2 linked regions of the Callithrix jacchus genome follow. Each later gene encodes a partner of the first gene's protein in a complex. Links are inferred from orthologs where the notes say so. Each region holds a gene or a part of one and is shown in the gene's direction. Other genes may lie near its edges. The genes, in order: ZC3H13 and WTAP.

What was found.
Region 2: the proteins of ZC3H13 (region 1) and WTAP are in contact, whole or in part, in a cryo-EM structure (PDB 7VF2), measured with the Homo sapiens proteins. The link is inferred for Callithrix jacchus from reciprocal best matches to the Homo sapiens genes ZC3H13 and WTAP. Residues at the interface, in NP_001317494.1 of Homo sapiens: Arg1512, Pro1514, Gly1515, Ala1516, Ala1517, Leu1518, Lys1520, Phe1521; in NP_001257460.1 of Homo sapiens: Asp202, Glu203, Asp206, Phe207, Gln210.

The regions. Positions count from the first base shown.
Region 1 is NC_133506.1:165,159,997-165,164,065, reverse strand, and holds the end of ZC3H13 (zinc finger CCCH domain-containing protein 13), read left to right. Parts: coding exon 1-103; intron 104-2,140; coding exon 2,141-2,311; 3' UTR 2,312-3,476; downstream 3,477-4,069. UniProt on the Homo sapiens protein: Associated component of the WMM complex, a complex that mediates N6-methyladenosine (m6A) methylation of RNAs, a modification that plays a role in the efficiency of mRNA splicing and RNA processing.
Region 2 is NC_133505.1:166,551,894-166,555,714, forward strand, and holds part of WTAP (pre-mRNA-splicing regulator WTAP), read left to right. Parts: intron 1-494; coding exon 495-649; intron 650-2,704; coding exon 2,705-3,285; 3' UTR 3,286-3,821. UniProt on the Homo sapiens protein: Associated component of the WMM complex, a complex that mediates N6-methyladenosine (m6A) methylation of RNAs, a modification that plays a role in the efficiency of mRNA splicing and RNA processing.

The DNA.
Region 1 (4,069 bases):
AGAAGAAAGAGCAAGTCTTCTTAGTAATCTCGGACCATGTTGTAAGGCATTATGCTTCAGACGGGATTCTGCAATTCGAAAGCAGCTTGTTAAAAATGAGAAGGTACTGTTATTTCCTTGGAAAAAATACAAAGCGAATAGTGTGGGTGGCATATTTTTCATTTGATTGCTTTAAATTGAGATTGCATGTTTTTATCAGTTTGGTTTCCTAATCTTTTACACATGTTAAAGGAAGAATGCCATTAAAATTTATAATATGCTTTATTCTTCAATAGTATTAATGAATATTGGTGTTAATAATGAAAGTTTAAAATATTCTGTTTCTGTTAAATGTTTTTTATTTGTGAAAAGCTTCTTTCAACAAGCAAACATTACAAAAATGTATTTAAATTGAAACTTAAGGAAAAAAATTTCTTTGAGTGTTGTCGATATTTATGGAAGTATTTATGAGAATGTACAAAGTTGGAAGAAAGGGAAATAAAAGCGATTATATATAAGCATTTGAGAAGAATAAAGACATTGAGAAATAAGAAATTAGATTTGGAAGAAATCTGTTAATGAGATCTGGTAAACCCAAGATGAAAACGTTTTAGACTTTTTAAAGTTAAGAAACTAGGATGTATTTGGGGTGGTGGGTGGGTACAGGCAGTACAGATGGAGTATCCCTGATCCGAAACTTTCTGAGCGTCGACATGACCCTCAAAGGACCATGCTCTTTGAAGCACTTAGATTTTGGATTCTCAGATAGGGACACTCAACTGGATACGTAAATGTAATGCAAATATTCCAGAATCCAACAAAATTTCAAAATCGGAAACATTCCTGTTTCTGATCCAAAGCATTGCAGTTAAGGAGTACTCAACCTGTATGATAAAAAAAAGAGCTGGTGGGATTCTTTGCTTAGCAAGTTTAGAGTAATGAAAGTTTAGAGTAAGGAGTACTCAACCTGTATGACAAAAAAAGAGCTGGTGGGATTCTTTGCTTAGCAAGTTTAGAGTAATGAAAGTTTAGAGTAAGGAGTACTCAACCTGTATGACAAAAAAAGAGCTGGTGGGATTCTTTGCTTAGCAAGTTTAGAGTAATGATCCAATGGATAACTTCACTAGCTTTTTACCTGGGGGGCAATTAGGAAAACAGAAATCTTTGACTATATAACATTGCTAAAGAAAAGGTAACTTCATTAAAGAAAAACACTCAGATTTAGGGCCGGGGGTGGTGGGGGTGGGAATTAAATTTTTCGAAAGAGGAGAATGAGTTTATCTCCAAACATTAAAATGGAAACAAATACAAGGAATAGGAGACTATTTAAACACATCTGAACTGTATGATCAAGTTTTCCTCACTTAAAGTCTGGCTCAAGGTTATTTTTGACAGAATTACTACAGTCATTCTCCTTTGCCCGCCCCCCCCATTTCAATATGTGCTTTTCTTTGTTTTTTATTTTGTACCATTCCCTGGTCCATCCTTCAGGACAATAACTTTCCAAAAAATGCTAATGTAACTTTAAGTCACAATAATATAGTTACACATTTTAGTATAAGGGGGTAGTAGTTCTTCAGTATACTGCATGATTAGCTGTCTTCTAAAGGATTTATTCAATTCTCGAGCTCACTTTTTATGGGACATTAACAGATTGGTAAGGATCATAGAACGTTTGGCTTACAGAAGGAAAAACCATGTGAGGAAGGAAGTCATGGCACTTGTCTTTGCAGAACCAAAGGGTTGTCAAGTAAAAGTCAGATCGACTTACAGCGTAGCTCCGTAGAAGAGCCTTTATTTCAGCACATGGAAGAAATACTGCCATTCAACAGTGGAATGTGCAGTGTGTTTTTTGTTTGTTTTGAAATTGGAAATGATGAACTAGAAACTGGTTGATTACCTGTCAGAAATTGTTGAGAGGATTCCTACATTAAGCCAGAGGTCAGACTAGGTGCCCTCTAAAAGTTTATTTTCAAAGAGTCATTGAGCCCAAATACATTTTCTGATTTTGCTTTGAAATCCAATAAAGCTAATTTAATATCCAAAATTAAATACTCTTATAGCTTTGATATTTTGGGTAGAGGTTAACCTGCCCATCTTTCCTACTGTCAACTAATCATGTACATCTTTTTAAAAAAATGTGTTTTTGTTTCTTAAATAGGGCACAGTAAAACAAGCATACACGAATGCTCCAGTGGTAGACAATGAGTTATTACGACTGAGTCTTCGGGTATTTAAGCGGAAGACTACTTGCCATGCCCCAGGACATGAAAAGACTGAAGATAACAAACTCTCACAGTCCAGTATCCAGCAGGAACTGTGTGTGTCTTAAGACTGAAGCTCAGTATGGTATTTCTGTTACTGTCTTCCGTCGGCAAAGTTATTTGGTTCGACAAGCATCATTAGTGACACAGGCAGAAAAGATTTATCAGCCGCGCTAAAAGAGTGAAGAATTTTGATCTTTAGAGACACTGGTTTTGGCTAACTTGAGATTTTACATTAATTTTTACATAGTCCTTGACACTCATGCAAAATAATGTGAAAACATCTAGATTTAATAGTTTATTCTGCGCCTTTTGTTAAAACTGAAGATTTTGGAAAACGGTTGTCACTGCTCTTCCAGCCTACGAATATTTTTGTGAAATTGAACCGGTGATTTATGCTGGATCATCCATACAGAAGCAACAATTTTATTCAAAAACAATGTGTTCATCAAAGGAGTTGCTCACATGGTGCAACACCGCGCTGTGCAGACCGTGGGAAAGGGAATGCTGGTACAGCTAGCCTGGTGTGTTTCTAGGGGAATCTCTAGCAGAAAGGAGCCAAAATAGTTTTTTCCCTTTGAAAGTCTTTTAAAAATTATTTCATGGGTCTTTTTTTTTAAAAACATTAATATGTGTGCATTGTTACAATGTATGTTAGATGTCTTTTGACTCTAAATGCTTTTTTTGTTGTCAGAGAGTGTGTACTATTTTTATTTTTAATAAACGTAACTTCCCTTTCCTTGTTTTAGATTTTACTTTGCTCTTCATTAATCTTGTTCCTGATGTTCTCAAACATTAGTGACCAACATTACAGTTTCATACTTCAGATGTTTTACTGCTTGTGTCCTTATTGTTGGATTACTTTAAACAGAGTTGATGTACTTCAAATATAGCTCATTAATACTTAAGGCATCTTGTTAGAATGTGGCTTTTGAAGAAAAAAAAATACTCAAAGCAAACCGAGAGTTAAGAAATCTAACGTAACCTGAGGTTTAATAGTCTACTATCATATTTGTTAGAGCTATAATTTTTGATTATATTAAACTGCCTCCAGCTGTACTATGTAAAGCAGATTTACTTTTAAAAATTACAGTGTGTAATTTGTTCTGTATGTATATGTTTAACTCATGAAGTGGACTCTTAGAAGGATTTGAAATGGACTCTGGCCACAGAAATTGTGGGCAGACAGTAGTAGTGATAATAATAAAAGAAGCCAATCAAAATTCAAATTTATCATGCCCTCTCACAGGTTTTTGTTATAATTGTAAGCCTACATTATTTGTGTTAGCAGTTTTGTCTCTATAGGTAACATAATGACAGTGGTGTAAAGTTTCTGTATGTTATGCAGTCAATTTATACAAGATACTTACCCACCAAGGAAAAGGGTCTCATCTTCAAATGACTTTGAAAGCATGTATACTTGTAAACAGAGCAGGAGAAAAAATTAATCAGAATTTCTTTATGTCCTTTTCCTTTACTGAGTGTTTTGAATAAAGAAAAAAGAAAAAAAAATGACCTCGGAGAATGAATACACTTTAGGAAGCCACTCCCTGATTTTAGTGGATAATATTGTTCTCTGTAGCACAAAGATTTAAAGTCCTAAAATTTCTAATCCTAGTTCTCAGAATTGTGGAATATGACAAAAATAATGGTTTTTCCATTTGTCCACTGACTTCGGGGATATTTCACAAGTTATTTATTTATAGAATGAAAACTGTGTAGTTAAGTCATTCAGTGAAACCTGTTGTCTTTCAGTTTGAAATCTTTGTTATGTTGCAAAAGAAAATGTAGAACTGTTCCTTTGGTCTCTCAGTCACAGCGTTCAG
Region 2 (3,821 bases), on another chromosome or scaffold:
ATTAAATGTTTTTCTAGCAAGAATAAATATACTCTCATTCATTTTTATTTGTGGATACTGATTTCCATAGATTAGATTATAGAGAAGCATTTGTGATTGATGTTGCATGTACCTTTTCAAGAACTTTTGATAAAGCACTAGATACTTCAGTATAATAATATTGGTGTAGCCAAGGCATATGTTAATTAACTGGCTCTGTTTCCATTTCAAGTGATAATTTGAGATGAAAATAGGTGGGTTTTAGAATTATTGATATAAGAGAAACAAGGTGTAGCTGTTTGGACCCTTTTTGTTTAGTGTTTATTTTTGCTGCTGTATTGGCAAAATACTGAAATGCAGAAGATGGATGTGTCCCAGAAAAGAAGATGGTAATTATGGGGAAGCATCTGCTGTGATACGTTATGTGTTACATCTATCACTGTAATAATTGTAAGCAAAGAAGGTTATAGAGAGTTTTGTCTTCATTTTGTGATAGATGGCTCTTTCCTTTGCAGCCAAACAGGGAAAAAGTTAATGGCGAAGTGTCGAATGCTTATCCAGGAGAATCAAGAGCTTGGAAGGCAGCTGTCCCAGGGACGTATTGCACAACTTGAAGCAGAGTTGGCTTTACAGAAGAAATATAGTGAGGAGCTTAAAAGCAGTCAGGATGGTAAGGGGTTTCTTTGAAAAGTTCTCTTAACCTTGCACTGGCTTTAAAACTGCCAGTCATGAACATTACAGGTTAGATTCTGTACATTGTTAACCTCTGCCTATGATTGTATATTATTGTGAATGAAACATTTTTAGTTGAGTCAGCAGACAAAGCCACATAATTTTAATGTGTTTTTCCCCAACCTCCTCATTCTTTATCGTTCAAAACTTTTTATGTTTTTGTTTTTAGTGGGGGTAGGATTTGGTAAGGTTGTTATATTACTTAACAAGATGGGCAAATTTGTATTTGGTGTTTGAAAGGGAAAAATATCTTTAACCATTTCTAGTTAAGTGTAAATCTTAGAAAAATTCGGCAAGTTTTCAGCAATCTGAAAGTAATATAGTTGATTGCACCTGTGATGGTTTTGTTAGTGAATAAGTGATTTACTCTTTAAATTTACTGAGATAAACAAAACTTGTCAGCCTCCATCCTTTTTAGTTCAAGTGTAGCGCATCTGTCCTGTTTCTCCTCTTTGTAAGGTGCATTATTAATAAGGAAAATATCTAAATCTTTGAAATTTTAAATTGAAAATTAGTGTCTCTGATGGTTAATTGCAAGGATGATTAGCAGTCAAGTAATTTCTTCTAAACTACTTATTATTTCAAAATCATCAGGAATTATTTCCTGTGACTTGTCCTTATATGTATAACAGTCCTTAGTTGAGAACATGGGCCTCTTTGGAGTATTAATAGCAGACCACACTGTCCTTAAGAGCCAGACCTGCTATGGAACTAAGACACTGGCTAGGAGGGTCAGCAATAAGGGGACTGGCCATAGTTGGCCCATAGGTAAATGTAAATCAAACTTTAGGGGCTATAATCAGGTGTATGGCAAAATGGATCAAAACCATTTTAACTTGGTTGCTTAATAAAGTCGTCCCTCGGTATCCATGGTGGATCGGTGTCAAGACCTCCAACAGATAAGCCCCTCATATAAAACCATGTCATATTTACATTTAAACCTATGTACATTGGGCTGGACGTGGTGGCTCATGCCTGTAATCCCAGCTAAGACGGGTAGATCACAAGGTTAGAAGTTTGAGACTTGCCTTCTCAAACCATGGCCAACATGGTGAAACCCCATCTCTACTAAAAATAACAAAAAAATTAGCCAGGTGTGGTGGCAAACATCTGTAGTCCCAGCTACTTCGGAGGCTGAGGCAGGAGAATCACTTGTACCTAGGAGGCGAAAGTTGCAGTGAGCCAAGACTGTGCCACTGCTCTCTAGCCTGAGTGACAGAGTGAGGCTCCCGTCTCAAAAAAAAAAAAAAATTAAAAACACGAGGGCCGGGCGCGGTGGCTCACGCCTGTAATCCCAGCACTTTGGGAAGCTGAGGCGGGTGGATCACCAGGTCAAAAGATTGAGACCATCCTGGTTAACCTCAATGGTGAAACCTCATCTCTACTAAAAATACAAAAAATTAGCTGGGCATGGTGGCGCATGCCTGTAATCCCAGCTACTCGGGAGACTGAGGCAGGAGAATTGCCTGAACCTAGGAGGCGGAGGTTGCAGTGAGCCGAGAATGCGCCATTGCACTCCAGCCTGGGTAACAAAAGCGAAACTCCATCTCAAGAAAGAAAAACACGAAAAGAAACCTGTTTAAGCCATTTAAGCCATCTCTAGATTACTTAACAGTACCTAATACAGTGTCACTGCTATGTAAGTAGTTATTCTACTATATTGTTTGGGTGATAATGACAAGAAAAAAAAGCTGTACATGTTCAGTACAGACCCAGTTTTTTCCTCAAATATTTTCCTTCTACAGTTGGTTGATTTCACAGATGCAGGACCTGTGAATGTGGATGGCCAACTGTATATTAAGTATCTGACTTCCCCCAAAGTAAACATACTTTAAGATTCCAAGCAAAATTTATAAATGTAGTGTGCTTTTAGTATTGTGTTTGTTTACTTAGCAAGCATTTTATTGACTGCCTTGCTTTGTGGCAGGCACTGAAGAAACATTTTTCAGTGTTATAAGAGATATTAAAGTTGATTTGACTCTCCTTTGCACAGAACTGAATGATTTCATCATCCAGCTTGATGAAGAAGTAGAGGGTATGCAGAGTACCATTCTAGTTCTACAGCAGCAACTGAAGGAGACACGCCAGCAGTTGGCTCAGTACCAGCAGCAGTCTCAGGCCTCTGCCCCAAGTACCAGCAGGACTACAGCTTCTGAACCTGTAGAACAGTCAGAGGCCACAAGTAAAGACTGCAGTCGTCTGACAAACGGACCAAGTAATGGTAGCTCCTCCCGCCAGAGGACGTCTGGGTCTGGATTTCACAGGGAGGGGAACACAACTGAAGATGACTTTCCTTCTTCTCCAGGGAATGGTAATAAGGCCTCCAACAGCTCAGAGGAAAGAACTGGCAGAGGAGGTAGTGGTTACGTAAATCAACTCAGTGCGGGGTATGAAAGTGTAGACTCTCCCACGGGCAGTGAAAACTCTCTCACACACCAATCAAATGACACAGACTCCAATCATGACCCTCAAGAGGAGAAAGCAGTGAGTGGGAAAGGTAACCGAACTGTGGGTTCCCGCCACGTTCAGAATGGCTTGGACTCAAGTGTAAATGTCCAGGGTTCAGTTTTGTAATATTTTTTCAGCAAATTTTTATACAGTGTCATTTAATTTGGGAGAGGATACTGTCCAGAAAATTAATGCATATACTTTTGTCACAATTTGCCTTTTCTTGGGTGTACGTTTTGGTTCTTTTTGTTTGGTTTCTCTTTGGGTTTTTTTTGTTTGTTTGTTTTGCTTCAATACCTCTGCCACTTTGGAAATTGTAACAGTTAATTACTTTGAATGTTGCTAAAAGGACATTTTGTGTAGGGTCAAGTTATTTTTATATGAGTTAATGTGAAATTGTAAATGGCAATTTTTCCTTAAACTATAACACAATGACGTCTGTATAAATCTGTGTCTGTTTAGAATCTGTGCTGTGTAAGGGCATTCTTACTCATGCTGTTACTGTACTTAATGCACCATTCAGACTTGTTAGAATAGATGTGGGTTTATGACTGCCAAGTTTGCCCAGTACAGTAGTTTTTTATCACTAAAAGTTGGACTCATTGATGGAGTCCTGTAGTAGTTTCAGTGTTAGATACAGTTTTTTCCACCATACATCTGTG